5 linked regions of the Rattus norvegicus genome follow. The protein of the gene in region 4 interacts with the protein of the main gene of each other region in a biochemical or structural test. Links are inferred from orthologs where the notes say so. Each region holds a gene or a part of one and is shown on either strand. Other genes may lie near its edges.

The links.
Region 1: the proteins of Erbb4 (region 4) and Abl2 form a complex in vitro, tested with the Homo sapiens proteins (2 studies listed by BioGRID and IntAct, with this or other methods). The link is inferred for Rattus norvegicus from reciprocal best matches to the Homo sapiens genes ERBB4 and ABL2.
Region 2: the proteins of Erbb4 (region 4) and Syk form a complex in vitro, tested with the Homo sapiens proteins (2 studies listed by BioGRID and IntAct, with this or other methods). The link is inferred for Rattus norvegicus from reciprocal best matches to the Homo sapiens genes ERBB4 and SYK.
Region 3: the proteins of Erbb4 (region 4) and Ptpn6 form a complex in vitro, tested with the Homo sapiens proteins (2 studies listed by BioGRID, with this or other methods). The link is inferred for Rattus norvegicus from reciprocal best matches to the Homo sapiens genes ERBB4 and PTPN6.
Region 5: the proteins of Erbb4 (region 4) and Nrg1 form a complex in vitro, tested with the Homo sapiens proteins (2 studies listed by BioGRID and IntAct, with this or other methods). The link is inferred for Rattus norvegicus from reciprocal best matches to the Homo sapiens genes ERBB4 and NRG1.

Annotation. Positions count from the first base shown.
Region 1 is NC_086031.1:71,309,706-71,315,606, forward strand, and holds part of Abl2 (tyrosine-protein kinase ABL2), read left to right. Parts: intron 1-1,911; coding exon 1,912-2,085; intron 2,086-2,480; coding exon 2,481-4,204; 3' UTR 4,205-5,901. UniProt on the Homo sapiens protein: Non-receptor tyrosine-protein kinase that plays an ABL1-overlapping role in key processes linked to cell growth and survival such as cytoskeleton remodeling in response to extracellular stimuli, cell motility and adhesion and receptor endocytosis.
Region 2 is NC_086035.1:12,808,956-12,815,554, reverse strand, and holds the start of Syk (tyrosine-protein kinase SYK), read left to right. Parts: upstream 1-2,281; 5' UTR 2,282-2,403; intron 2,404-6,599. UniProt on the Homo sapiens protein: Non-receptor tyrosine kinase which mediates signal transduction downstream of a variety of transmembrane receptors including classical immunoreceptors like the B-cell receptor (BCR).
Region 3 is NC_086022.1:159,215,444-159,221,344, reverse strand, and holds part of Ptpn6 (tyrosine-protein phosphatase non-receptor type 6), read left to right. Parts: intron 1-629; coding exon 630-819; intron 820-939; coding exon 940-1,056; intron 1,057-1,154; coding exon 1,155-1,268; intron 1,269-1,395; coding exon 1,396-1,492; intron 1,493-1,781; coding exon 1,782-1,861; intron 1,862-2,050; coding exon 2,051-2,200; intron 2,201-3,923; coding exon 3,924-4,055; intron 4,056-4,185; coding exon 4,186-4,340; intron 4,341-5,901. UniProt on the Homo sapiens protein: Tyrosine phosphatase enzyme that plays important roles in controlling immune signaling pathways and fundamental physiological processes such as hematopoiesis.
Region 4 is NC_086027.1:77,008,566-77,014,466, reverse strand, and holds part of Erbb4 (receptor tyrosine-protein kinase erbB-4 precursor), read left to right. Parts: intron 1-1,593; coding exon 1,594-1,691; intron 1,692-3,397; coding exon 3,398-3,568; intron 3,569-5,901. UniProt on the Homo sapiens protein: Tyrosine-protein kinase that plays an essential role as cell surface receptor for neuregulins and EGF family members and regulates development of the heart, the central nervous system and the mammary gland, gene transcription, cell proliferation, differentiation, migration and apoptosis.
Region 5 is NC_086034.1:66,809,770-66,816,380, forward strand, and holds the start of Nrg1 (pro-neuregulin-1, membrane-bound isoform), read left to right. Parts: upstream 1-2,872; 5' UTR 2,873-3,269; coding exon 3,270-3,369; intron 3,370-6,611. UniProt on the Homo sapiens protein: Direct ligand for ERBB3 and ERBB4 tyrosine kinase receptors. Concomitantly recruits ERBB1 and ERBB2 coreceptors, resulting in ligand-stimulated tyrosine phosphorylation and activation of the ERBB receptors.

The sequences.
Region 1 (5,901 bases), on a different chromosome or scaffold from region 4:
TGATCGTTCAATTTCAAGTTTTAAATGTTAGAAGAAATCAAGAGAGTTGAATTTTGTTTTCCTCTAGTGATTTATCACAAGATAAGAAGAAGGGGGAAATGGAAGTACAATATTGATATTTCTATAAAAATATATCCATCCTTCTTCCCTCAAGTTGTCCCCTACACACAGACATACACATTACATAAATGAATACATACACATAGACACATAAATGTAATTAAAATTCATCAAGTGGTAACAAATTTGTACAATTTAATTGACTATTTCACTTGTTTGGGAAGAAAGAGTAGAAAGTATATTTTTGCCTCAGTAAAAGCCACAAAATTCGGGGTTGGGGATTTAGCTCAGTGGTAGAGCGCTTACCTAGGAAGTGCAAGGCCCTGGGTTCGGTCCCCAGCTCCGAAAAAAAGAACCAAAAAAAAAAAAAAAAAGCCACAAAATTCATGACTTAGTTAGATCAGCCAAGGGGAACCAATTGAATGAGTGTTGCTTTTTTTTTTTTTTTTTTTTTTTTTTGTTCTTTTTTTCGGAGCTGGGGACCGAACTCAGGGCCTTGCGCTTCCTAGGCAAGCACTCTACCACTGAGCTAAATCCCCAACCCCGAGTGTTGCTTTTATAATTAGGTTTTGTTTGTTTGGTTTTTGTTTTGTTGAGTTTAGAGTTTTGTTTTAATTTTGGTTCTTGAGCATGAACCTGAGGCCTCATGAGAGTTAGGTAAGCACTCCAGCCCTGAGGGACGTCCCAGTCAATAGTCAGGCTTCTGTTTCTCCTGTTGTCGTTGGTTAGTTGGTGTATGTGTGTGGGGTGAGGGGGGAGAACACTGATTTTTTTTTTTTTACTTGAATGAAATGGAATAAATTTATCTTACTCTCCTTTTTAGTAAATACTGCTTCCCCAAAATAGAAATCTCTACAGACCCGAGTCCCTTTTATTTAGCACCTGAGTTATCCAAATGCTCAGTGAGCACGTAAGCCATGAGGGACATCACTTGCCAGCAGGAAGTACAGATCAAACCATGAGATTGCCACGACATGCCTGCATTCACTCCCATGAATGAGCAAAAGTAAAGTTAGGTGCACTATAGAGTAACAGCCTCCAACTTTGACAATCCAAGTAAGTAACATTTACACACCGGTCCTGTGGGCGCCACTTGTTATGGCTGTTACATTGGTCAGAGCCTGGTGAAGATCAGTGTGCACCCCATGACCTATCCATTTATATCAACTAGATGTGCACAGAAGTCCCTGAGTCACAGAACAAGTATCATATTTATAATAGCTCAAACTGGGAACATCCTATGTAAACACCGAGAGGAGGACAAATGAATTTTGGTAGTCTCACACATCAGAATATTTCATGGCAACGAGAAAGGGATCCTGCCACATGCAATGAAAAGTAAACCTGCAGGAATAATAGTTATTATTATAGTTAGTGAAGTGTTTGAATTCAGATCCCCAGCCACCAAGTGTGAAGCCAGGCGTGGCAGCACATACCTGTGTGTGGGAGCTGGAAGTAGGAGCTCTCTGCTGAAGCTGAGCTCCAGGCTGGCGAGGGACCCTTTTCTAAAGGGTAAGGTGAAGAGCTGTTGGGGAAGAGGCCCGGCATCAGCCTCTCCCTCCATGGGTGAGGTCACACATAAGACTTCATACGCTCATTTCATTTCTATGCTTTGTATAATTTTGTTGTAATTTTCAAGATGACATTTTGCTAAGGCTGGTCTCCTATTTCTGTGCTGAAGAGATCCCCCAGCCTCAGCCTTCTGAGCAGCTGGGACTATAGCGCAGCCTGTACACCCATCTGCTTTTACGAACTTCAGTATTCAGCTCTCTGCTTTTCTTTTTTCAATTATATGCCTTGGTCTCTGTCTTAGAATTCTTTTCTTTTTACCAGACTTTGTCTTTTTCACAGAGGTAGCTGAGGAGCTTGGGAGAACTGCCTCCTCCTCATCTGTAGTTCCATACCTGCCTCGACTGCCACTACTTCCTTCCAAGACAAGGACCCTGAAGAAGCAGGGGGAGAACAAAGAGAACCTAGATGGGGGCCTTGATGCCTCCGAGATCCTGGCCTCCAGCTCAGCACCAGGTAGGAGGGGGCAGAGCAGAAAGGGTAACCCTTGAAGAACAAAGGACCACAATGCTACTTGGCCTTGGGTCTGCATTGCCAGTGTGGGCAGTTTTATCCAGTCCTATGCAGTCTGCTACCAGATCTGTTTGTTTAGTTCCTGGCTCCTAGGTAGCTACCCAGATGGGTGATGGTGTACACCTATCTTCTATAGAAGGGACAAATACAGAAGAGACCAGCAGGTACTACTGAGGCACTAATGTACAAATCACGGCTGGAACACTAGTCACTGAGTCAGTGACTTATTTGTGAACTTCCTGAGTAGTGCCAACATCTGACATTCAAGAAATGCAGACGGAACTTTCTAAGGTAGTCACACTAACTGGCTTTTCTGTTACTAATTGGCCATTTCTCAGCAGGGTTCATTAGAAGCACCCAGGCCTCCAGTGGGTCCCCAGCTCTGCCTCGAAAGCAAAGAGATAAGTCACCCAGCAGCCTCTTAGAAGATGCCAAAGAGACATGCTTCACCAGGGACAGGAAGGGAGGCTTCTTCAGCTCCTTCATGAAAAAAAGAAATGCCCCCATGCCCCCTAAGCGCAGCAGCTCTTTTCGAGAAATGGAGAATCAGCCCCACAAGAAATATGAACTCACGGGTAACTTCTCACCTGTTGCTTCTCTGCAGCATGCTGATGGGTTCTCTTTCACTCCCGGCCAGCAAGAGTCGAATCTGGTGCCAGCCAAGTGCTATGGGGGGAGCTTTGCACAGAGGAACCTCTGTGGTGATGATGACAGTGGTGGGGGTGGGGGTAGTGGCACTGCTGCGGGTGGGTGGTCTGGTATCACAGGCTTCTTTACACCTCGCTTAATCAAAAAGACACTGGGCTTGCGAGCAGGTAAACCGACAGCCAGTGATGACACTTCCAAGCCTTTTCCAAGGTCAAACTCTACATCTTCCATGTCCTCAGGGCTCCCCGAGCAGGATAGGATGGCAATGACCCTTCCCAGGAACTGCCAGAGGTCCAAACTCCAGCTGGAAAGGACAGTGTCCACCTCTTCTCAACCAGAAGAGAATGTGGACAGGGCTAATGACATGCTTCCAAAAAAATCAGAGGAAGGTGCTGCTCCAGCCAGGGAGAGACCAAAAGCCAAACTATTGCCCAGAGGAGCCACGGCTCTTGCCCTGAGAGCCCCTGATCCAGCCATCACTGAGAGTGACTGTCCAGGGGTAGGGGTGGCTGGAGTGGCAGCTGCCCCCAAAGGCAAGGAGAGGAATGGTGGGACGCGGCTTGGAGTCGCTGGAGTCCCAGAGGACGCAGAGCAGCCAGGCTGGTCTTCTCCAGCCAAGGCTGTAGCTGTCCTCCCAACCACTCACAACCACAAAGTGCCAGTCCTTATCTCACCCACTCTGAAACACACTGCAGCTGATGTGCAGCTCATTGGCACAGACTCTCAGGGGAACAAATTCAAGCTCTTATCTGAGCATCAGGTCACATCCTCTGGAGACAAGGACCGACCCCGACGGGTAAAACCAAAGTGTGCCCCACCCCCGCCACCAGTGATGAGACTACTGCAGCATCCGTCCACATGCTCAGACCCCGAGGAAGAGCCAACTGCCCCCCCTGCAGGACAGCACACTCCAGACACCCAGGACGGAGGAAAAAAGGCAGCTCCAGGGCCAGTGCCCAGTAGTGGGAAACCTGGGAGGCCAGTGATGCCTCCACCTCAAGTGCCTTTGCCCACATCTTCCATCTCGCCAGCCAAAATGGCCAATGGCACAGCAGGTACTAAGGTGGCCCTGAGGAAAACCAAACAGGCAGCTGAGAAAATCTCAGCTGACAAAATCAGCAAAGCGGCCCTGCTGGAGTGTGCCGGCCTACTGTCCAGTGCAATCACAGAACCTGTGCCCCATAGCCAGCTGGTGGACACTGGGCACCAGCTACTCCACTACTGCTCAGGGTATGTGGACTGCATCCCCCACACTCGCAACAAATTTGCCTTCCGAGAGGCTGTGAGCAAACTGGAACTTAGCTTACAGGAGCTGCAGGTGTCTTCCACAGCTGCTGGTGTGCCTGGGACAAACCCTGTCCTTAATAACTTATTGTCATGTGTACAGGAAATTAGTGATGTGGTGCAGAGGTAGCCATTGTCAGCCTAGTGGGGAAATGCACATTCTGAGGGGAGAGGGAAAGGGACTTGTTTTCCTGTGTTCTCGTTCTCAAACAGTGAAAGACTGATACTTGAGTGTGTTTATGTGAAGTACCTCAGACCCCTGAGTTCTCACGTTTACAGGTTCATCTCAGAACAGCAAAAAGGAAATCACATAAATAGATAAAGTGAATGTGGTGGGGCAGGGCAGTGTGGACACAGTTGGAAACTGCACTGGAAAATAAGCGAGCATCATGCATACATCATAAAAGTGCAGCCCTCCCTCTCTGGAATGGCCTGTGGCCTCCATTGGGCTGCTCTCAGTTGTGCTGCATCATGAAACAGGCCTTGACCTGGCAGGTCCTGGGGGTTATCACGTTTCAGTTCACCCTGCAAATCTGGGGAACAGGAGAGAGCAAGTGAGGGATGTAGCAGGCGCCGTTTTATTCAAGGCTAAAGAAGTGTCTGTTGGTCTTGCTTCCACGGACATTGCTGTTATAGCAAGAACTGCAAATTAGATTACCAGAGTACTCAACTGGGAAACATGACCCTATCCGTCTGCTCTGTCCTGTTTACCGTGGGTGTGTGAGTTGGTGCAGAAAGTACAGAACAAGGGTGAGTGTAGTCAGATGGACACCTCCAGACTCTCCTGCTCATCAGCCGTCACGTCTCCCACTCTTCTGGCATATTACTTGCTAGTGGGCCAGTATCCACCTGCTGCTTATTGTCAGCTGTCTGTAAGCCATGGGCAGAGGGCGTGGTCTTGGTTCTCTGCCCTTTGCTGGGCTGTCTGTCCTCCTCCATTCCTGGCAGCATACATACCGGGCATTACCCAGCATCCATGTTGAAAATAGTGCTCACTACAGGTTCTCATAGGAGACCTTCTAAGCCCCTGAACACTGACATAATGGCCACTTAGGCAGCTATACATATCCTCTAGTTATACAAGCACATCCAGTACCTTTTTGAAACTGTGGCTGGCCTGGGGACCTGGGACTGAGGAGCTCACTCCATGTGGCTGCTTGTACCTTTGCCCTCCTTAATACCTTAAACCCGTCTGGGTGGACGTAGGGAAGCCATCTTCACTGAGGGCTTGCCTCCACTGATTCTCAGCATTCTCTCTCTTTGCTCACACATCATCCCCAACCCCTTGTTGCACTTGGAGTTTGTGTTGGGAATATACTTCATTTATTTTCTCCTTTTATCTCTATGTTAAGAGTGCATGGTAGGAGTGGGTTATTTTCAGGGAGCACCAGTTAGGCCCATAAACCTAAGGGTTTAACCTGAGAATCAGTTTTGCCCTTCACAAATGGGCATTTCCCTCCCTAATACAGTTATGGAAGCTAATAAAGTAACATGGAGCAGGGCAGTAGCAGGTTATGGATTCCTGGTGCTTTGGGTGTTGAGTCTAATTCCAGATACTGATTTTCTTTAACTTTGTGAACACCCTTTTCATTCTTCAAAGAGAGCCAATACAAAATATAGTGATTTTTCTTCTTCCAAAGGAATGTTAATGTAGGAAGATGGGGCTTGAGCACTAAGCAGTGTTTTCTTCCTGACTTATTGATCTGCTGTCAAGTCGCTGCCCTGTCTTCTGGTCTATTAATTGAAGGCCACAGCCCACATTCTCAAGAGTGTCTTGCAGACTTAATACACCACTCCCACTGAGAGGCTCTCTGGGAAGCTCTGTAC
Region 2 (6,599 bases), on a different chromosome or scaffold from region 4:
TGTGATCAGGGGAGAAGAAGGTTGGCATTGGACAGCCTGAGAAAGGAAGTCCACATGTAACAAACCAATCCAACGTCCACCTTGAACCATTTCCTTTCTCAGGCTGTCAGATCTTTATGATAAGAACTTTCTAGAGGTTGGTCAGCGCTGGGATGGATAGCACCCCGAAACATCAGAAGCTGAGACAGCAAAAAGCTGTAGTTAATACACCCAGCTCACTGGGTTATTATCATAAAGATCTGAGAAAGAGGCCAGGGAGGGTGCAAACAATAAGTTTGCAAAGCACCTACATCCTGCGTAGGACATTTAAGTCCAAGGCAGAGCACAGGGTTAGAGCTATACTCCAGCGGCGAATTCCCCAATGGATTCTGCATTTCAGAACCCTCCTCACTTTCTGGGTCACTTATGGGACAAAAACCTCTACATTGGAGAGGGGCCAGGGCTTAAAGGAAACAGTTACATAATAACAAAAGGGCCAGACATCTAAGGAGATGTAGCAATGTGAAAAGTGTGCACAGATCAGCAGGGCATCAAAATGCATAAGGTAAACCCTGACAGAAATGGAAGACAAAGATGAAAGAGACAAAGCCAATATTATGGTCTGGATTTTTCAGTTTCTCTCTTTCTATAACTGATAGATCAAATAGAAAATCAATGAAGAGACCAGAGCAACACTGTCAACCAAGCTGACATTTGTGAGATTTTTGACTCTATCAACCAAAGAAGGCATTCCTCTCAAGTGCTCAAGGAATATTTACCAAAATAAAATGCACGCTTTGGAAACCCATTAATTTCACATTTAAAACGCCACATAAATTGTTTTTAGAAGACAAAAAATTATACTAAATGTATTGTAAGAAAAAATTATCTGGAAAATGAAAAATGGGTTTTTATATAACCCGCGAGTTGATAGAAGTCTCGAAAGAACTCTTAAAACATTTTAGCTAGCATGCAAGTGAAAATCCAAGGCTCTGGAGGATTAGTTCTGCAGTTACACTTGGTGGATCTTACAGAGGACTCATGTTCAACTCCCAGCACCCCACTGACACCTCACCACTGTCTGTAACCCCATTCTCAAGGTATCTGATGTCCTCTTCTGACATCCATGGGTACTAAACACATGCATGATTTGCATACATAGATGTAGGCAAAATACTCATATGCATAAAATAATATATATGATATATATATTAAAAAATGAAAATACGGTTGACAAACATTTTTTTCAAATGATGCTAAAAGTAGTGCTTACAGGGAAATCCCCAGCACTAGGTCCATTGCTATAACAAAATCCCCGAGGTTAAGTACGTTATAAAGAAAGGGAGTTTAATTTGGCTTAGCAATTTAGGGCTTAAAAGCCCAAGTTCAGGCTGTCACATCAGGTGAGCCCCTTACATTACATGCCATCCTGGCAGATGGCACCAAATGGAGGAAGGCTGAGATTGACAATGGCTTTGGACGTGACCAAATTGGTTGAAGATAACAATTCATTGTCAAAGTAACTAACCCAGTCCACCAAGACGTAACTTAGACCTCTGAGATAGCCATTAATCTTTCCCAAGGCAGATGCCTCAGTGAACTCACTCCCTCATACCAGACCCCACCTCTCAAAGGTTCTGCCCCTTGAATATGCCACACCTTGGCCAAGCTTCTAGCACTCGAGCCTGCGATTGGAGCACCCAAACCCTGACGATGTATCATTCAAAGGGAGTGTGTCAACTCAGTCACCTATAATTTGAGGCGAGGATGCTCTAATTATAGCAAAATAAGTTTTATAAGGATTACAAAGAATTATAGTACATTAAGCCTAGGCCTCAATGGCAAAAGGAAGTAACATGAAAAAAAAAAACTCTGAAGCTAAAAATAGGAAACTATAAACCAAAATGAGCAAACCCCATTTTGAGTCTTTAAAATTATCAGCTGAGTTAGTAAATCGTCAAACAAGGTGTACAGTAAGTTGACGAGGACAAAAATTGGTATGGCACACAGTTTTAGCCAGGATGCGTAGGGAACATGTGAGAGTCGGTGTGCCCATCCTGGTTGAGAACGACCATGTCTACTGATCCTCCTTCGGCTGGAATGTGTTTGGGAATCCCTGCCTTCCAACTGTAACTTCATTTTGACTATGAAATTACCGAGCACCGCCCTCTCCCCTCCTCCCCGACACACACATACCCTCTCACTTCTGCTTTCTGGCTGGTCTTGCTTGCTGACACTTTGAGGAAAAGCCACTTCCCTAGTTGCAGACACCACTTAGCATCAGGGAGCCTCCACTTGCTCTCCTCTCCTTCCCTCCGTCTCTGTGGCCACCCCCATTTTTAAGCCTGCCAGTTTGGTCCTTTCCACGCTCCATGCTGCCTGGTGCCCGGGAGCCCAGGCCATCTGCGACTCCAGGACAGGAAGGTAAGTCAGATTTGGGCAATCCATAATGGTGACCTCATGGCTCCCTGCACCATGGGCGGGCCTTAGCGAGCACGCCGATATCTGAGTTCGATATCGGCTTCCCCGGCTGATACTGTGCCTGGGCTACACCATGCCCTGGCCGACTTGTTTGCTGTGGAGGAGTTGACAATTACTGCAGTTCTCACGAGGCAGAGCCATCTTTCTTCCCCCAAGTACATAACCGTTGGCCCTATCTTTAAACACCGGGGTTAATTTGCGTCTCTAGATACAGCTGTGAAGTCTCGGGAGTAATTCCACTCTAATTTCCCGGAATATTTTACGGGCCTGAATTTCAGAGAAACCCAGGTTACCTTGAGCAGGTGTGGCATGCCCTTTGTGTCGAATTTGGGTCGTTTGGCTTTCCTAGAGGCCTTGAGGGCCCTGTGCGTGTTGTTCTTGTGAGGTGGGCGGATGGGGAAGTAAAATAGTGCCTAATCGCCAGCAGCTTCAGCCAGGCCCCCACGGCCTACTGAAACGGAGTCTGCCGGTCACAGTATCCACTGTGGCCTCAACCCCAGCCACCCAGCTGGGATTCCCTGGGATGGGGCTTGAGGGGGGAACCAGAAGAATACTGTAACTTAGCTGTTCACCTATCCTGGATACTTTGTCTCAAGATAATGGCAAGGAAAACTAAAAGACAATTCTTATCATGAAATGTCTGGTGCTTGGTCAGTTGTTGCTATTTTATGTGTGAGTGTATGTGTGTATATGTATATACCTGTATGTATGGTGTATGTGTGTATTGTATGCATATATGAGTATATACCTGTATGTATGGTATATGTGATTGTATACATATGTATGTGTGTGTATGTATGTGTGGTGTGTGTGTATTGTACATATGTGTATGTGTATACACTTTTATGTGTTTGTGTGTGGTATATGTATATATGTATATTCCTTTATATGTATGTGTGTGTTGAATGCATATATGTGTATATACCTTTATGTATGGTGTATATGTGTGTAATATGTACATATATGTGTTTATACCTGCATGTATGATATGTCTGAGTGTGTGGTATATGTATATGTGTATATATGTATATACCTTTATGTGTATGTGTATGTGGTATATATGTGTGTTGTATGTATATCTGTGTATATACCTTTATGTGTGGTGTATGTGTATGTGAGTGTGGTATGTACATATATGTGTATATGTCTCTCTGTGTGACATACATACATATATATGTGTGTATATATACATATATATACATATATATATGTATATATATATGTATATATATGCCATCACCTGAGCAGGCAGAAGCTTGGACCTGTAAGTACTTTCTTCCTTTGTTCCAGAGTCATCTGCAGGTAAAGTCAGCCAGTCACATAAGTACCAGTGAGAACCAGGGTCCGTGGAGTCCTGGCTAGATCATGGCACCTGAATTCCAAAACTTTCTTTTCTCTACATGTTGTCAGGGAAGCAGTGCATTCATGCTCTCTCTGGTGCAGTTGCTTGCTGACTAGCTTGCAGTATCCATTCAGCAGGTCTGTCCAGTGGGTCGGTGTTTAAGATTTAACAGTTATATAAACAGGGGCTAGGAGATGGCTTTGTCTTGTCAAGCAAACACAAAGAACTGAGTTCTTTACCCAACACTGGGGATTTTAGAAAGCTGGATGTGCAGAGAGGTGGGTGTAATTCCAGTGCTGGGGAAGTGCGGAAGAGGCAGATACCTGGGGCTTGCTAGCTAGGTGGCCTGGCCTCCTTGGCTAGTTCCAAGCCAGTGGGAGGTCTCATCTCAAAAGCCAAAGTGGATGGCATCTGAAAAACGGCATCCGAGATTGATCTCTGACCTCCATACACATGAATACCCACTCATACATGAGCATGTACAAAAAGAAAATGTGCTTAGGTGAGCTGGTTGCCTGTTCGTAAGTAAACAGTTAATCTTCTGTGGACTACAGGCGTCCTCTGTGACTTGTGCTAATGTCATCCAGGTAGGCATAGAGACCAGCTTAGAGGCTTGCCTTCAAGATCTGAGGATGTCCAGCGGTCAGCCGAGAGGAAGTCAGCCTTTTCTGATGTGGGGATTCTCTACTCTGAAGCTGCCTCACACCAGTCTGGTTTTAAAGGGTCAGGACAGGCTCTTGTGCATTTTATTGGCCCTCTATTTCTGAATGACGGTGGGCATCAAGCTGGTCAGCCCTGCCTGTGATTCCTGTCTCTGAGGTACAGGCATATGCATTCTGAGACATCTCCTGTTACCTCCCGAGCTGCTGCCAGGATGAAACATGGAGGTGCTCCTCAGATAATAGTGTGGCCCCTCCTTGGGAAGCTAGGTGTCTGTGCAGTGTGACATCCAGTCAGCGTACAGGAAGTCTGGGGGACAGAGCTCCTGTAAGATAGCCTCCCAGAGGACAAGCCAATATCTGACAAGAAGCTGAGGCAGCTGCCCTCTGTGGTTCAGACCCAGGGCCCTCTGGGTTCCATTCTTCCCTGCTTAGGCCCCACGTTTGGGCCCATGCGTTTTCTTCATAGTGAGATCTCCAAGTAGAAGCCCTGTGAATGCTCACAGCTCCAGGAAGAGCAGTTGCAGGCAGTTAACTGCAGATCTCTGTGCCGTGGGGCGGCCTGTCACCAACCAGCCTGACTGGCCTAGTGAGACTGACTCTCCCTCCAGGCTGGCCTCATTCCTCTTTTTTTATGAAAATTAGCATAGCGCCCCCCCCCCCCCCATCCCCAGAGGAAGTTTTTCTTTTAAATGAGGTTCTAGCATTTAATTACTCAACTTATGGCTGCAAGGAAATTTCCCAGGTACACTTGAGTGGGGCTGTTTTGCATTGGAGTGGCCATGTGGTTTCAAGTGAGAGAAACCTGCATTTGCATCTTCCTGATTTTGTTTTCCCTGTGTGGCCCAAAGTGGGCAGATGTTACCTTTGGCTGGTATTTTCCCAGAGAGCTGTTTCCCCCAATCACAGACCACAGTGCACCTAGGGCTCTTGTGGCCCCTCGATGGGAGAACCAGCCATCTTAAATGACTAAGAACTGCTGTCAGTGCCCCACAGGGAATGGGATGGGGTAGCTGGAAGGGGAGGGCAGCCTCATCTGCAGAGGTCATGCTTTGGTCTCCAAATGGGCCGAGGCTAGTCAGAGAAAGGAAACACGACACGGGCTGCCTCTTCTCCTCCAGTTCATGTTTAGCTAGGAAGTGTGGGAAATAACTCTTAATAAATATAGTTGCGTATAGGTGAAGATAATCTTAGCTTACAAATAACTGGTTTTTTCAAACCTGCCAAGGCAGCATTCTGGGTCTTTTCAAAGACCTGTGGGGAGAAGGGTGGACATTGCTTAAAGCCACTGAACATTTGTTCATGGATTCCTTATTTAAGGATTCACTGTTTCTTGATCCTGGGGGGAATGGTCCAGTCAGTGTGTTGCCTTGCAAGCACAAGAACCTGAGTTCAATCCCATGCACACTTACAGAACAACAACAGTAGTAGCAGCCATGTTGGTTCACACCTCTCAGCCGAGGTAGGAATGCATGGATCCCTGGGACTGCCTGGCCAGCCTCGCCTGTTTGGAAAGCCCTATGTCAGTAACAGAGCCTGTCTCAGAAAACAGGACAGCTAAGGTTGACCCCTGCTGTGCGCGTGCACATATGCATGCCCACACAAACACATACACACATGCACACGCACACATCACGTCACATCACGTCAATGCACATGTACACATGCATGCATGCACACACATACATGCGTGCACACAGGCACACACACTTCACTAAAATGTATTTGTAACCCTCGTCAGGTATGGCACTCTGTCATTTGTGGACATGCACTAAATGATTCCATTCTGTCTCTGTGAGAAAACCCTCTGACCAAAAGCAACTTGTGGGAGGAAAAGGTTTATTTGGCGTACACTTTCGGGTCACAGTTTGTCATCGAGAGGAGTCAGGGTGGAACTTAAGCAGGAACCTGGAACAAAACCACATAACAATGCTGCTTGCTGCTCACTTTCAGACTTGTGCTTATCCAGTTCTCATATACAGCCTAGGACCACTTGCCTAGGGATTGTGCTGCCCATGGCGGGCTGGGCCTTCCCACATAAATCATCAATCAAGAGCATCTCTAGTAGACTTGGATGCAGGCTAATCTGACCCAGACAATCCCTCACTCGAGGTTTTAGATGACTGCTTGTTTGTCAA
Region 3 (5,901 bases), on a different chromosome or scaffold from region 4:
TTCCCATCTGTCTGTCTGTCTGCCTGTCTTTCCTTCTTTCCTCCATCCCTTTCTTGTTTTAGAGATGGGAAGTTAGCTTTCTTTTGGAGACAGCTTGTAGCTCAGGCTGGCTTGGAATTCACCATGTAGACCAGGCTAGCCCCAAACTTACAGCGATCCTCTTGCTTCTGCCAACCCAGAGCTGTAATTACAGGTATATATCACCAGGACTGGCTGTTTGTTTTGTGTCTGAGGTAGGGTCTTACTGTGTAGCTCAGGCTGGCCTGAAACTTAACATGTAGAGCAGGCTGGCCTCGTTAAGACAGTTCTTCTGCTTAGTCCACTGAATGCTGGATTATAAAAAAAATGAACCGTCATTCTCAGCTATTTGGTGAGCTTTAAAGGTATGTTTGTGTAGATCATGCTGGCCTTAAATTTACCACTATCCTCATGTGTCCTGAGGGGCTGGAATTCCAGCTCCAAATCGGGATTACAGCACAAAGTCTGGCTTTTCCTCTCAGCATTTTCTGAGTTAGTAACGGATCTGTGTAGTGGTGGATTTGAAAGCTTGTAATTCAACCCTGGCAGATAGCAGGTGTCTGCGCTCGCTCTGGGGCCTGGTCACCATCTTTGCAATGTACTTTCTCCAGGTGGTATCATGGTCACATGTCTGGAGGGCAGGCAGAGTCACTGCTGCAGGCCAAGGGCGAGCCCTGGACATTTCTTGTGCGTGAGAGTCTCAGCCAACCTGGTGATTTTGTGCTCTCTGTGCTCAATGACCAGCCCAAGGCTGGCCCGGGTTCCCCGCTCAGGGTCACGCACATCAAGGTTATGTGTGAGGTGAGTTAGCTGGGCTGTGGGGAAGGCCTCATGCTGGAGCATCAGTGGGTTGGATTTAAGACTGGGGGTGCCAGGAGGGGGACTCAGCCCTGAGGGGTGACCCTATTTGGTGTCCTTCAGGGTGGACGATACACTGTGGGTGGCTCAGAGACATTCGACAGCCTCACAGACCTGGTGGAGCACTTCAAGAAGACGGGGATTGAGGAGGCCTCAGGTGCCTTTGTCTACCTGAGGCAGGTGAGGAGCCAACCTGCTTGCCTCTTTGTCTGAGCCATCAGAGACGTGGCTTTCTGAGGTCTCTCAGCCACTGATTTCTTGCCCTCCCTTACCCCCAGCCTTACTATGCCACTCGGGTAAATGCAGCAGACATTGAGAACCGGGTCTTGGAACTGAACAAGAAGCAGGAGTCAGAGGACACAGCCAAGGCCGGCTTCTGGGAGGAGTTTGAGGTGTGTCTGGGGACAGCAGGGCTGGCATAGATTGCCCTCTTTACCTGCCTCTGACACGGCTCTGACTATGGCCTCTGCACCTGTGGATGCACCCGGGGGCGGGGGACTCAGTTCTCTCATATTTCAGAGTCTGCAAAAGCAAGAGGTAAAGAACTTGCACCAGCGTCTGGAAGGGCAGCGGCCGGAGAACAAGAGCAAGAACCGCTACAAGAACATTCTTCCCTGTGAGCACCAGTAGGCCTGTCTCTCACTGCCCCCTGCCCCATTCCATCCCCACCATCCAGCAGGGCTCTCTCCCCAAGGCAGCCTCTTCACTTCCTAAGAGCCTCCCCACAACTACCAGGCAGTAACTCCCTCCTTGCCACGCCTTGCTCCCAAAGCCTCTACTCCCATTTATCCCTCCCTGCTGTCCTATCTATGAGTCTGTGGCCCTGGAGACAAGGACAGCTGTTGGCTTGGGAAGGGTCTTCACCCAGGGAGTGGCCCAAGCTGTTCATTCTCTATCCATGCCAGTTGACCACAGCCGAGTGATCCTGCAGGGACGTGACAGTAACATCCCAGGGTCTGATTACATCAATGCCAACTACGTTAAGGTGACTTGGGTGACCTCTGTGGGAACACATGTTGGTCTCTGAGAGCTCCCTGGGGCTTGGGGGTCTATGGCTACAGATGCCTGTGAGGTTGGATCTGATCTTATGTGGGGGTGATGGCGGGTGGAACAGGCACGCCCACTGCCCAGAGACTCACAGTCTGTGGTGGGATCTCTCTGTGCTTGCACCCAGAACCAGCTGCTAGGTCCGGATGAGAACTCTAAGACCTACATCGCCAGTCAGGGCTGTCTGGACGCTACCGTCAATGACTTCTGGCAGATGGCTTGGCAGGAGAACACTCGTGTCATCGTCATGACTACCAGAGAGGTGGAGAAAGGCCGGGTAAGGCAAAACTCCACCTTCCTGACCCTTAAATTTTCCTCCTCGGTCTTTGCTCACTCGGTCCAGACACAAGCAAGATCAGGGGCTTGTGAGATGGCTCCAACAGTTAAACGTGCTTGCCAACAAGCCCGACATCATGAGTGCAATCCTTGGGACCCACATGGTAGACGAGAACTTTACTTCTGCAAGTTATCCTCTGACTGTCAAGTGCATACCACAGCACATAGCATACAAGTACCCATATGTCTACAGTCACATACATACACACACATACACATACATACGTACGTACATACATACACATACATACCTACACATAAACACACACATTCACACACATACATATGTACATACATACACATACATACCTACACATAAACACACACATTCACACACATACATATGTACATACATACACATACATACCTACACATAAACACACACATTCACACATACACATGCATACATACATACATACATACACATACATACCTACACATAAACACACATTCACACATACATAATACACATACATACACACACACACACACATATACACATATACACACAATACATACACACACATACATACACACAATAAAATGTAATTCTTTTTTAAGGGCAAGACCGGATGCCAATATAGAATAGGACATCAGTGACAAAGGCCCAGTGCATTTTGGGAAACTAAGGCCTGAGATGGTCTTCACTATACACTGTGACTCCTAGACACCCTGCCCTCCTGAGCACCATATGTTCGGCTGTGATGATATAGTCCAGTGGTAAAGCACTTGCCCAGTAGGAACCCTGGGTTTCATCCTCAGCCCCTCTCTTTAATGTGTCCCAGGGCACACATTCTTCATACATCCTCCCCATCCCCCCATCCTCTCTGCCTCTTACTTGGGTTTGAACCACACATAGCTTAGTACAGTTTCAGTGGTCACTGAATGGATTATAAGGTAAGGTGGGTTGATCAGATCCCGCCTAGCGGTGGTTAGCCTGAGGCCAGGTCCCAGGTCTGGTTCTGAGCTGGCTCATGTACTCTTTTAGCATCCACAGGGTGGGGGTGGGGAGGAGGCTCAGTGGTTAAGTATTTGCCATGAAAGCATGAGAATGAGAGCCCGGGTCCTCAGAAACCCTTGTACATTCTGGGTGGGCAGAGGGCGGATACCTACGATTCCAGCTTTGGAAGGAGGATACAGAAGACTCCCAGAGTGCACTGGCTCGCAAGATTTGCTATATTGGTGAGCTCTGGGTTTGAGTGACACACACTACCTCAATGAATACGGTGCAAGAGAGATGGAGGATGACGTTGGCAGTCATATAATGTAATTCTTTTTTAAGGGCAAGACCGGATGCCAATATAGAATAGGACATCAGTGACAAAGGCCCAGTGCATTTTGGGAAACTAAGGCCTGAGATGGTCTTCACTATACACTGTGACTCCTAGACACCCTTATATAAGGCAGTCCCCTTATATCTCCATGTGCACACTATCTCCTGTGTATGTATCTGTACACACATGCACACCATCCTTCCATGTATGTATTTGTACATACATGTACACCATTCATCCCCCATATATGTATCTGTACACACATGTACACCCCCCCACATATATATCTATATATACATTCAAAACCAATATTCAGGTCTATGTCTTGGGGCCCAGAAGGAGCCCCAGGGCCCTGCCTCTGTGCTTTATCCTTTCCCTCTCTCCTTTCAGAACAAATGTGTCCCATACTGGCCTGAGGTGGGCACTCAGCGCGTCTATGGGCTCTACTCTGTGACCAACTGTAAAGAGCATGACACAGCAGAGTACAAACTTCGAACATTGCAGATCTCCCCACTGGACAATGTGAGTGTCCCCAAGCTCGCCCATTCAGGAGCCTTTCCTTGATTTATTTTCTAGTCTGGGGGGGCGGGGAGGACAAGGATGAGGATGTCGTGTGGGAGCACCAGGCATTGCCTCTTTGTCCTTGGCCTAGGGGGACCTGGTTCGGGAGATATGGCACTACCAGTACCTGAGCTGGCCTGACCATGGGGTTCCCAGTGAGCCTGGAGGTGTCCTCAGCTTCCTGGATCAGATCAACCAGCGGCAGGAAAGTTTGCCTCACGCGGGGCCCATCATTGTGCATTGCAGGTGAGTTAGTGTAAGAAACCAGCAGCTGGGGGCTACAGAGATGGCTAAGAGGTTAGGAGCTCTGAGCCACTCGCTCTTCCCGAGGACCTGGTTTGATTCCCAGCACCTACAAAGTGACTCATACTCTTCCGTAACTTCAGTCCCAGGGGATTCAACACAAGGGCCTACAAGGGCGCTGTGTGCACTGTACACACACGGTGTACAAACACACATGCAGGCAAAACACCCACACGGGCACAATTAAACTAACAGACAGGAGAACAATGCTGAGTCAGCACGGTTGGTTGCTAGTGGCAACCTGTATAGGGACTCACCGAAAGCCTCCCCTGACCCCTGCTTCTGGACTCCCCCACTGCTCCAGGCCTGAGGGTGGGCCTGGCTTGAAGTAGCCTCAGCCATCTACTCCCTGCTGCCAGATACAGATACAGAGACCGACTCTGCGCTGGCCTGGTCACCAGCTGGTAGCAGGGGAGCCTGGGCAGTTAGAGCAGGGTGCAGACTTGCCGCTCTGATTTCCTTCTCAGCCACCTTCTTCACAGCTTCCACTGGGGTCAGTGTGGGCCTAGCACCTCCCCTGTTGCTATTTAGGCTCTGTGGCTGGGTAAGAGGTGGTTGGCTGAGAGGTTAGCGGGAAAGGTCCTAAAAGGAGGTGGCTTTGCTTTGGTTGGTGTAGGACAACAAGTAAGGGGTCTTTGACAGAGGCCACTTGCTTATTACCAGCTGTGTGACCCTTGGGCAAGTTACTTAACTTCTCTGACCCTTGGGTTTCTCTTCTCAGTACTCATTGCTAGGTATAGTGGAATAAGCCTACAGTCCCAGCATTTGGGTGGCTGAGACAGGAGGATTATGAGTTCTCAGCAATACAAGTACGGATTTCTCTGGTTTTTGGGGTTTTATCCCCTATCGCCCCCATCCCCTCCCCCCAGACAGGGTTTCTTTGTGTAACAGCCCCAGCTGTCCTGGAGCTCTGCTTTGTAGACCAGGCTGGCCTTGAACTCACAAGAGATCTGCCTCCTTAGTGCTGTGATTAAAGACCTTGTCTTTAAAAAAAAGTTTCTGTGTGTGTGTGTCTCTGTGCATGTGTCTCTGTGTGTCTCTGTGCATGTGTGTTTCTGTGTGTGTCTCTGTGCATGTGTGTTTCTGTGTGTGTCTCTGTGCATGTGTGTTTCTGTGTGTGAGTCTCTGTACATGTGTGTGTGTGTGTCTCTGTGCATGTGTGTTTCTGTGTGTGTGTCTCTGCAGGTGTTTTTCTGTGTGTGTGTCTCTGTGTGTATGCGTGCAGCTGTGTTCCTGTGTGTGTGTGTGTGTGTGTGTGTGTGTGTGTGTGAGTCTCTGGGCATGTGTCTGTGTGTGTGTGTGTGTGTGTGTGTGTCTGTGTGTATGCATGCAGCTGTGTTCCTGTGTGTGTGTGTGTGTGTGTGTGTCTGTGCAGGTGTGTTTGTGTGTGTGTGTGTGTGTCTGTGCAGCTGTGTTTCTGTGTGTGTGTGTGTGTGTCTGTGCAGGTGTGTTTCTGTGTGTGTGTGTGTGTCTGTGCAGGTGTGTTTGTGTGTGTGTGTGTCTG
Region 4 (5,901 bases):
GTTTTGATTTACACAGGGTTAAAGGAAGACAGGAAGTGGTGAAGGTGAATAGGCATTTTATTAATAAGAGACTCAGAGACTCTAGGCCCAGGTCTTCTCATATTTATATTCATGACATGTGTGATCTATTCTGACAGGAAGGGAAGAAATAAAAAATGTTCCTTGCAGTGCAGGTCAGCATGCCCTTTTCTCTAAGCATAGTTCTATTTACTCAATATTTAGTTAGGGAGAAACAAATATCTCGCAGTGAAGTTAACCTTTTTTGGCTCTAGTAGCTTTGCCATTAGCATCTTGGCATTAACAAGCATTTTTTTAAATGAATACCCATAAGATGCAAGTGTTTGGGCTTGCGAGAGGAGACACAAAGGATGTATAAGATGATACCCAGAGGATTTCCAAAACAAGAATAAGAATGAACTCCCTAGAAATAGAAAAAGAGCTCCATAGCTGCGTTAGATCAGTCCTGGTTTACCCAGTTACCTGGAAGAGACCTTAAAAACATCCCTACGTTATATGATAATTTGATCCCATCACCAGCATCAGATGTGACTAGAATACCCCAGTGTGATGAGGGGAAGGCAGGCAGACATTTGGCCTTATTAGATAAACCATAGACATGGCTTCACCTTTGTTTTTCTCGCTTCCCCTGGAGAGTTTATGCTTTAGAAAGGGATCACTTGGCAATGACATCAAAGCGAGCTTGGCGCTGTTATTCTTGTCATCTCATCAGCTAAACAGAGCGTAGGCCGTTAAGATCCATTTAATCTGAACTCCCAGATAAAGAAGGCTACCTACCTTGAACACTAGTATTTTTATTCTGGGAAAGCTAATTCTAAGATAAGTGAAATGAGTATTGTTGAACACACATTACAGATCATGTTGCATTTTCCTTCCAACCAGGAACAAACCGGCAAAAAGCAGTTGCTTTCAGTTTCCCCCCTTTCAGTCTTTTGTACCACAGTGATAAGATGGCAAGCAAACACTTTCGTCCATGTACTCTTAATTTCTATCTTAACTTCCATGTGTTCTTTGTCTACCTCTGTAGCCATCAAAGAATGCTTTATTGTTTTATTATCTTAATACTCTGAAGCAAGAAAAATAAAAATCGGAGGTTTTAAAATTTCCTAGAGTTATCCTAAAATCTATTTTTCTAAGCCAAAGATTGAGTTTGAATCACAATGAAAATTTGGGATCCTGTAGACAAGGGTCAGCGGTCAGGAGCTTGTGATGCTCTTGCAGAGGACATTTGTCTGGGTTTCAGTGCCCAAGTCAGGCAGCTCTCAACCACCTGTAACTCAAAGCTCAGGTGAGCCGATGCTCTTTTCTGGCTTCTGTAGGCACCTGCCCCTGTACACATACCCACACAAAAAACATAATTAAATGATTTTTTTAAATTGTTAATTTATAGTATCTTGTATTCCATGACCAATGTCAATTAACCGAGTTACAATCTGGTTTGCTTCCTTCGCTAGTTTTGTTTTGCAGAATATTACTAAAACTATACACACATAGTTGCCCCATAATTACCCAAACTTTAACCTCACTTTCTCCAAGCATAGATGCACTAATAGTTTATTGCGTCTTAATCTCCAGGTTGGATGATCGATGCTGACAGCAGACCTAAATTCAAAGAACTGGCTGCTGAGTTTTCAAGGATGGCTAGAGACCCTCAAAGATACCTAGTAATTCAGGTTAGTTGTTTTGATGCTGCTTTTAAAACTCTAATAACAAACTCTATCTAAACTTTACAATGTTGAAAACATCCGATAATAGAATGACCATGTGAAAAACTTGTGGATTCGTGGATCTGACTATGGTTCTATGTATGCCTAGGAGAAAATTCAGGCTCAGAAAGGTAAATGCTACCTATTCTCTCTCATCTGTAAAACTTACCCGTCTACATATACACATACACATGGTATAGGCCACAAAACTAGAAAGAGATCATTAGAAAGGAAAAAGAAGTTTTAAGGGAAAGGTAAATTAAGAAAGAAGCTAATAGAATACCTATGACATTTGAGTAGCCAGGGGAGAGGAGTACCAGAAGGTCATAAACCAAAACAATATATGTATGAATATTTTATCATAATGCTATAACAAACCCATTTCTTCATATATTAATTTTAAAAGTCCATGTGGATTGTTTTATTGGGCGAGGGGTATCGTCTCCAAGCAATAACTCAATTCAGATGAATTGATGCCTACCTAAACCATAGAACAAAGCAATAGGTATTTTGCATTCAACATCAGGAACCCTATGGATTGGCTCATTTAATTAATATAATAATGTCTCAGTGCTTAGTTTCATCTAAAGCAGAAGCAGTTGTACCTTGAAGGGTCTTAATTCTTCCTCACTGAGAAGAGCATTTACCTTTCAGTAGACTAAACATGAAGAACAAAGCCAGACGTTAGAAGACAATCATGTCACAAACTGACACTCTTTACCAGTATAACAAATTTTGAAAAAGTGAAAGTATTTAAGGCATGATAAATGGAACAAACCTTAGCAGAGGTCGTATATGTTTTCACACCCACATATGCTCTATATGTCACTGTACTATGATTTTTAAATGCCATCACTTTGACAATGATGCCATTATACTACAAGGTCGACCATGGATGTCTGTGTCCTGACTAAGCAGAATAGTGCAAACGTATTAATTTAAAACTGATATGTTGATGGTCTCTTATTGTCGATTCTTTTTTTTAAATTTTTCCCATGATTTTACATAGCTTTATTGCACACTTATTTTTATGGATATTTTATGTATTTACATTTCAAATGTTATCCCCTGCTTCTATGAAGATCTTCCCACTCCCATCCACCCATTCCCATCTAACCACCCTGGCATTCCCCTACACTGGGGCATCGAACCTTCACAGGACCAAGGGCTTCTCCTCTTATTGATGGCAGACAATGCCACTCTCTGCTACCTACGCGGCTAGAGCCACGGGTCCTTCCATGTGTACTCTGGTTGGTGGTTTAGTCCCTGGGAGCTCTGGGGGGTCTGGTTGGTTGATGCTCTTCCTATGGGGATGCAAACCCCTCCAGCTCCTGTTGATTATTAATCCTTACCCCTCCTCGACAGTGAACTGTTATTTTCAGATCTGAAGTGGAACTTCCCACACTTAAAATGTGCACAGCACCTGGCTGTGTTCTTTTTCTTGCTGTTCTTAAAATCATCGCATTCTTCTACTCCATTTCTGTGTCATCCCTTTTACTATCTAACCATAGTACAGGATTCTTTTTGGATGGTAGTTACGTTAAGACTGTTGTTTTAAATAAGCACATGAGTGCTCTAGCCGTTTGCCTTTCTAGCGTATAAAATGACTAGTGAAACCATGAGTTGTGGAGGAAGGAATAATGGTTGTGGTTATCTCTTGGGCAATCTTTCAGGGGGATGATCGCATGAAGCTTCCCAGTCCAAACGACAGCAAATTCTTCCAGAATCTCTTGGATGAAGAGGATTTGGAAGATATGATGGACGCTGAGGAATATTTGGTCCCCCAGGCTTTCAATATCCCACCTCCTATCTACACATCCAGAACAAGAATTGACTCCAATAGGGTAAGAATAATCATACACAAGTACCATGATACTTCTGAGAGACAAATTGGTATGCACTGATGGTGAGGCATAAAAGTTTCCATAGAAATATACAGGGTTAGTCATGATTCCAGTTTCTGCCTGGCTAAAGAGTGAGATCTTGTCTCAGCAACTAAACAAAAGAAAAACAATTTAAAATAAGAAGAAAGAAGAGAGGGAGGTAGGAGGGAAGGACCGCACTTCCAGACCACGGTTTACTTTTCTTTGTACTGAAAAAGAAAATATGTAATTGCGAATCAACCTGAAATATTTTATGGTCCCAATAGGAGCAGATAACATAAAGCTTTAAAATTCTAATTCATAAGCCAGGTGGTGGTGGTGCACACCTTGAATTCTACCACTCGAGTGACAGAGGTGGGAGGACCTCTGAATTCTAGGTCATTGTGCACTACAGACTGAGTTCTAGTACACCCAAGGCTACACAGAGAAAAAAGAAAAACAACAATGACAACAACAACAAAAACCTCTTTAGAAAAAATAATTCCTAGGTAGATTGTGAAGATCAATCTTTGTGGGAAGTATGACAGTCTGGGGTATGACTGGGGTCTTCCCTGCTCTCTCTATATAGCAAAAATGACCAAACATCACTAGATAAAAGATAATTCATCACTTTTTGGGTCAATAATTGATTTTCAAGGAAAGTTCTATTTCTTAAAGTGAAATTCCATCGAGATATGGTTTTATTTTTCTATTTTATAAGGATTCTCAAATTCTTAGGTTTTGTTCATTTTAATTTGTAGTGCTTAATGCAAGGAATTCTTAATAACATTTTGATCTAACTAAACAGAACTAGACAAAGCAGGAATCTCATGGGAAGTCCTTGACCTTTAGTCTTCTTCTCTTGTTCTGCATTTTGATTTGCTACCTACAAACTTTTTTTTTTAGTTGTCAGTGTCTGGAAAGTGAATTGTACTTAATACCACTTATTTTGGGAGCATAATGACTGTGTCTGTGCATGCACACACACACACACACACAAACACATACAACACACACACACACACACACACACACACACACCAGGTTGTACCTGTGGAAATTCAAGGATACGCTCAGCTGGTATTTCCACCATCCATCTTATTTCAAACACGCTCTTTCATCCATTGTTGTGTGTGCGAATCTTGCTGGCCTGTGATTCTCCTCTCTCCAACTCACCTCTCTCCTTAGGAGCACTAAGATTATAAACTCATGCCGGTGGGTCTGGCTTTACCTCTGTTCTGTGATCCCAACTTGTGCTTTCACAGTAAATACTCTGCCTACTGAGCCATCTTTCCGGCCCACAAAAGATCATGATCATTTATATTGCCCTAATTTAAATATCTGGTTTCATAGAACTCTTATTTCAACTTATAACATGTTACAAATATTATTTCCCTGTTTGTCTACAGTGTTGCTACATTATTTCATAATTACTTCAACTTTAGTTTCTGTGGTCAAGTTATGTAATAAGGAACAATGTTTAAAGTGAATAAGGATAGAAAGCTTAACATACTTGATAAATCTTTACTAGGAAGTAAATACTCGGTTTTTAAATGCAAAATGCACACACAAACGTGCATGTATGTGTGTGTGCGTGTGTGTGTGTGTGTGTGTGTCTGTGTGTGTGTGTGTGTGACTAATGTTCTGGTTCTTTCTATATCATTATTTTCTCATTTTTAAATTAATACAACTGTACCTATCTATATGAGTGACAGACAATTACGAATCACATTTTCTCTAGTGAATAAGCATTAATAAACATTAATCTCTTTAGAATGAGACAATATTTATGTTTACTTTTTATTTATCATAACATAATTACAGATACATTCTCATTCGGCTTGCTACTAATGACAAGTCTGTTGATGTGTTTACTCTTTAATTCTGTGTATGTTTCCCTACATCAAACAAATGATAGCAGTCTCTTCTGCAATGTGCTAGGTTGTTCGAAATTTCACAAGGGGGTCAGCAAGATGTTTCAGCAGGGTATGGGACTTGCCATTAGGTCTCATGAACTAATCTGTATTCCCAAACCTACCTACAGGGTAGAAAATAACTTATTCCTGCAAGTTGTACTTTAACCCCCATACATGCACTGTGGCTCATACAGGTCTGCACACAGGAAATAAGCGAATTTTAAAAATGTAAACTTTAAATCCACATGGATTTTGTTAAATTATGACCTTCAGATAATGAGTAAAGTAATAATACAATGCTGACATTTGTCCAGACTGCTAGCAAAAAATAAAATTTAAAACACTAGACAATCGTCATCTAATCTATAACTGGTGCTATTATTATTAGGTATAACTGCA
Region 5 (6,611 bases), on a different chromosome or scaffold from region 4:
ACCCAGGGCCTTGCGCTCGATTTTCTTCTTTAATGGAGACAGAGTCTCCCTGTGAAGCCCAGGCTGGCCTTACAGCCCCTGGTGGTACTCTTGCCTCATCCTCCAGAGTTTTAGAGATTACACCTAAAACTTGCTTTTATAGTTTTTTTTTTTAAAAGAACACTTTTTTTTTTAAAAGTCCTTAAGCCCGTTCCAAGGTATTTTTTTTTTTGTTCTTTTTTTTCGGAGCTGGGGACCGAACCCAGCCAAGGTATTTTTAAAAACACAAAACCATTTCATTTGCTGCTTAATGACCACAGAAATGAATAATTTAAGGACAATTTTCAAGTCTTGACAAATTTCATAAATAATTTAGCTACCAAAGAAAATGGCTTCTTGGTTAATCTTTCGTTTGGTTGTAAATCACGTAGTAAAATACACTCAAGAAGTTAACACAAAATAGCATAGAGAATTAAGAGTTGAACAATACATTAGTAGGAAAAAAATGGCTTTGCGGTGAATTTCCTGCTAATTCAGCTTCAATTGACAATAACACAGGACTCCAGAATCTGGGCATACTTCTAGGAAGCAGCAGTGAAGTTCAAGTGGCACTCTATTATGTGTCTTGAAAGTTCTGTCAACACCTACTGCTGCAATTCTTGTGTCCGCTTCTCCCCCTCTCCCATTATCATCGAACCAAGTTAGGAAAAAAAATCATGTAATGCTAGTTACTCTTCCTTCCTCGTCAAATCCATCCTTCCTCACCCCCACAGTTTCCATGGGAACATGGCTGGTATTTTATTCTGAAGTTACTGGAGCATCAGTCATTTTTCTTGGTTAAAATGGTTTGGAGGTTTTTCACCTGTCACAGTGGTTTCATTCAAACAGAAAAATTTCAGGAAGTGTAGTCTCCTTTGAGCCTCATGGAGATACTCCCACCACTAAGAAGGCATTCTGGGAAAGTAACATATTCAGACCCGGAACAAGAGATAGAAGTTGGTGTTCTTGTAGCCTTGGGTTTTGATTACCCCAAGTATTTGGGAAGATCTTACATTTAGTTTTTAAGTTCCAAAGTGCAAGTTTGTTTTCCGGTCCTTGGGTTCTAAAATGCTGGTGTTTTGACGACATGGGGTTAGTAAATCTCAGCTCTCTAACTGCCTCACATCCTCCAGACAAACAACCCTGTGAACTGAAAAGGTTTCTACTCTCAGCTGCTTGCTGCCCCTTGCTGGCTGAGCAGTGGCCCCTCCTGGGAAAACGGAGTTATTCCGGCCGGCTCTGGGGCCACTTCCCCTCCACTCTGAAAAGCTGAGCAGTGCTTTTCCTAGAGTCAGAAACTTTCCTGGGGTTCTGCTGCTTGTTTGGCACAGGGAGATTGGTATGTGGTATTTGCTGGAAGGCTACCAAGAGGTCTGGACGCTAAAGGTTTAGAATAAAAAACCATGTCAGTACTATAGAGATATCGTAACAATTGCACCCATCTCACAGAGTTTGATTCTTAGTCCTGGGAACGTTAAAGTAATATATAAATGATTCTTAAGACGATTTAAGTGAACACCTTGCCCACTTCCCTTCCCACCCATGTGTGAAAGGTGTACTCTGGATTTCACCTTTCTTTAGATCATGGCAGCCAGAGAACACAGAGAAAGCTGTAGACAGCAATGGGTCTGTTAGTGTTAACTCCAGGAAGTCAAAAGGAAGGAGCCAAATCACCCTGAAAGTGGGATAGCTGTAGAGTATTGATCGTTGGTGTGAGCTGTTTCTCAACCACAACTCTATACCACTGTAAATGAGCAGGCTAAGTTGGCCACAAGTGTGTGTGTTGATGACAGTGTCTCTACACGGAGACCAATGTGAATCACTTCTTGGTGCGGACTACTCTGGCCTCTGACTCCTCCTCAGAGTTCTCTACCTGGATACAGGAAAACTAGAATTCACTAGCAGTTCTCAGAAAGTCTAATAGGGGTGTGTGTGTGTGTGTGTGTGGCATTAATGAACTAAAGATCTGGACTACACAGTTCATTGTTCTACGGTCCCAACTCACTCCCTCACTCGAGGATCTGACCCTACCGACACACCTTAGACTCGTTACTGTCGATGGTGAATTATGGCTCATTAGTTCTTTTGGAAATTAAGTTGTAGAAAGAGATATCTGTGCTTAGGAAGAAGCTAGAGTGAGTATTTAAAATGGAGATGGGAAATCCAATAGTCATGCTATTAGGCACAGGAAGGCAGACACGTGCTCAAGTGGCTGATGGTACATCAGTGCAAACTGTTCATGCTTGAAGTTCACAGAACCCTTCCTCAGTACCTCAAACTCCGTTCCACCCCAGACTGCACCTTCGCCCTTAGTGCCAGAGAGAAACTTCCCTAAAACAGAGAGAAATGAACTCTGAACCCTTCTGGGAAATAGCAATTGTTCCTCCCCCTCCCTGGGATTCCAGGTCTCCAGAGCAATCATTGTGGAGCAGGTGCTACAGTTACAAACTTTTCTCCATCTTCCACCCTTCACTTCCCCTACCACGCACTTTTCAAGGCTTGGATCAGCTCAGCAGCCTGCCAGGGACTGCTAGCACCAGCGTCCCTTCCAGGGCTCTCCAGACTGCTCCGTTCGGTCTGGCGGCGGCTGTGGCAGTGTCAGCGCAGCTTCCAGCGACCCCTGTCGGGAGTTCCCGGCAGCCGCTGGGCTCGGCCGCCCCCAGCTTGGCCGGGCTGCCAGAAGAAAGGGGCTGAGCCGCGATCGCCCAGCTCAGGCTCCTCCCGGTGGCGTGTCTGCGCCTCGGGGTGGGGGTGTGGTGGGGAAGAGGGAGGGGGCGAGGCGAGGGGAGGGTGCGAAGGAGGCGCCTGCGTCCAACCTGCGGGCAATTGAAAAAGAGCCGGCTAGGACTTCCCCAAAACTTGTGGGAACTCCGGACCGCGCGGGCAGCAGGAGCCGAGCGCAGCGCAGCGGCCGCAGCTGCCGGGAGATGCGAGCGCAGACCGGATTGTGATCACCTTTCCCTCTTCGGGCTGTAAGAGAGCGAGACAAGCCACCGAAGCGAGGCCACTCCAGAGCCGGCAGCGGAGGGACCCGGGACACTAGAGCAGCTCCGAGCCACTCCAGACTGAGCGGACGCTCCAGGTGATCGAGTCCACGCTGCTTCCTGCAGGCGACAGGCGACGCCTCCCGAGCAGCCCGGCCACTGGCTCTTCCCCTCCTGGGACAAACTTTTCTGCAAGCCCTTGGACCAAACTTGTCGCGCGTCACCGTCACCCAACCGGGTCCGCGTAGAGCGCTCATCTTCGGCGAGATGTCTGAGCGCAAAGAAGGCAGAGGCAAGGGGAAGGGCAAGAAGAAGGACCGGGGATCCCGCGGGAAGCCCGGGCCCGCCGAGGGCGACCCGAGCCCAGGTGAGTGCCAGCCGCTCCGCTGCTCCCAGGCGGGCACCTACTCTGGTCCCGTGCGTCCCTGCTCAGCTCTCTTGGCGCCTGACCCGGTCCCCGAGCTGCGGTGCGGGGGCTGCCTCCACCTGGTGCCCGTGCGCTTCCCGCACCCCGAGCCTGCTGGTCATCCCTCCGGGGCCCTTGGGGTCGGCTGTGCGCCGCGCTCCCGGGCTCTGCCCTCGGTCCCCGCGTCAATCGCGGAGCCCAGCCCGGGAGTGGGGCTCCGATTGCGGGATCCCTACGGGCTGCGCGTGCCCTGCGGCCCGAGGACTTTGAGCGGGCCGGGTCTGCCCTCTAGCGAGAGAAGCGGGAACCGGCTCTGGGTTCGAGAGCCTGCGCCCCTCCGCCTGGGCCCGGGCTGCGCGGAGGGTGGTCGGGGAAAGGGTGGTGTGGGCGCCCGGGCGTCCGCGAGGTGGGCGGAGGGAAGCGGTTGGACAGCCGCTGTGCGAGCCTAGGATCGCTCTGATTGCGTGCGGCGATAGAGAAAGCCAGAGCGGCTGAGAGGGATTCCTAAAGGTCAGCGAAGCACGCAGAACCTGACCCGGTGCCAAGATTCAGGTCCGCTCTGAATAAATTTGGCTTCAGCTGTTGAAGTTTTCAGGGTTGCCCTGATAAAAGATGGCTAGTTTAGTTTCCCAAGAGACGTCAGAAAGGAACAATTTACCCCAGGTTTTGAACCCCATTGCTTACCGATTATATATGGAATGAAAAAGGGGTGGGGGGAGTTAAGGTTTTTTTGTTACCAGATCTTTTTAATCCACCGTCGGAGCGCAATCTAAAGGCCACTGCCACCCTAGATATCTCAAGGGAAGGCTATTACATTGACTTGGTCAGAAGAGGTATAAAAGGTCGCCTGTGACCAAAACTTGTCAGAGTTATTAAATAGATGCTTAAGGGGTGGCGCCTGAGAGGGTCTTTACCGTCCCTCTGCAGTCCCCTACAGTGGATCTGGATGCCTTGTGACTCTTAGAGCATCCCCAACACACATTGTGAAGTACTTCAGGGAAATTAACAACACTTGTGCAGTCTGTGCCTAAAGGAGATAAGCAGAAATATCTGCTCCGTGCAGGAAGAAAACAAACCACATTTTCTTAGTGCGCTCCTTGGATTCGCTCAGCATTTCAGAACCTGGGTTGTTGGCAGGGACCCTAAGTAAGGTTTAGAACAAAACAGAAACCGAACAGAGAGTAATTGTTTAGCCACTGGCCCGCTTAAAAGGCGCTGCTGATCTGTTTCACCTTAATTACCCCGCGTGAGCCTTCCTGAAGGTAGACGGATGTTTTCCCAATATTTACTGTATATTTTGGAGATTAACTGCAACATTGTACTCAACAAAGTACGGAACAACAGGGATCTGGGTTAATGTCATCATAGTATGTTAAAGAGACCCAGAATCGTAAAGGTATAAAGAACTTTCTGTTTCACTTGTCACCACTTGTGGCTTTTATCAATGGTTTGCATGGGCTGGTTAGACCGGTGGTTCTCAACCTGTGGGTCGCAACCCTAGGGGGGTGCGAGCCAAAGGACCCTTTCTTTCTGAGGGAGATTCATAACAGTAGCAAAATTACAGTTACTACGTGGCAACGAAATAATTTTATGGTTTGAGGAACTGAATTAAAGGGTTCAAGCGTTAGGAAGGCCTGAGAGCTTAGTTGCTCTCCTGAATTGAGATGGGGTGGTGGCTTGACTAGGTAGCGACTCTTTCAGTAGCAAGCTTTATCTCTCAACTAGGGCGCTAAGTCCACAACATACCTCAGATGTTTTAGTGAAGGCAGTGGTTCAGGTGGGGAGAGGTTAGACGTCTCAGGGCTGTCTGCAGCCTTGACTCACCTGGTGGGCATCCGTCTCAGGGCTACCTAATGTTCTTAGGGAAGTCTAGAGTTTCTTCTCTGGCTCCCTTGTGTATCTGTAGCCCCACAGCTGTGACTCTAAACCAGACTCCATGATATATTCTTCCCCGTTTCCCAGAAACAAATTGGGATGATGTCTGTGGGCTAGATTTTAGTTTGTTTCCTATCATGATATGATTGGGGGTAGAAGGGGTGAATGGAGAGACACTTTGCTCCCTCCAGAGAACTTTTTTTAACCCCCTTTAGGATTCTGTCAATAGATCAAACCAGATTAAGAGCATTTATTCTTTTGGTTTGCAAACGGTCACCTTGAAATTTGCGTTACGTAGAAATTCAGGGCATTAGATTGTCTTGCTTTGGATATCACTGTTTCTGCCTTTGCCTTGTCACGCTTCCTTCTAATGGTAAGTCCCAGTCTGATTTTCCCTATTGAAGAAGATGAGTAGCTGTGATTTGTGGGGTAAATCCACGCTTGTTCTGGTTCTGGATCTTCCCTCTGGCCCATGAGTCCGAGGAACCGTCAATAGCCTTCACATTTGCCAGGTAGTCAAATTTAGGATTTGCAAGGACAACCATCTCTTGAATTGTTCCTGGGTGTCACCCTTTCCTTAAAGCAACCAATGGAGTGCTACGTGTGTCCTTGGCAATGCAATGCTGAGCTTTTCACGCCAGTTTTTACCACAGCGAAGATGACTGAGGGTGCTTAGCCCTGCTCTGTACTTTATCAGACGCATAGGCATGTGGGTGGGAACTCTTCAGGAGAAAAACACCCTGTAAACTGCTACATTGACAGATGTAGTGGATGATTGTACAGACCTGGCTGTGTTTCCTATCTGCATTATGAGGTAATTAGCCAACACTGGACTGCACACTGTTGTGGCCGCTGATGTCCAATAGGATGATCTACTCTGTGATGGTAGATGTCACAGGTCCCATGTCTTTGAGGTCACAGATCTTCTTTGTTCAGAATAAACAACCTAAGGAAAATCCTGGGTTTTGTGTCACAGACCCATGTATCAAGGGTCCCATAATGTCCTGAGCCTCCTGCAAGCTGGCACTCCCAGATCCTGCCTCTGACTAATTCACTCAGCTTCGCATGTTCCTTTAGAAGCCCGAATTACAAAACTGGTTTTTCTTTTATCCTATCAGTTTGCCAGTTGACTCGAGACCTTCCTTAAGACTGCTGACGTTTTCCATATGCTGTGCAGTATGCTTTTGGTCATTGTTTTGACTCTTAAGTGACCTGTAACAAACCTGTTATTGTACCTGTCTCAGATCTAGAACTGTGGGCTGTTTTTTCATGCCTGCTGGAAGGGGTATTTGTGAGTGGAAAACTTCAGAAACTTAGTATCCCTAATA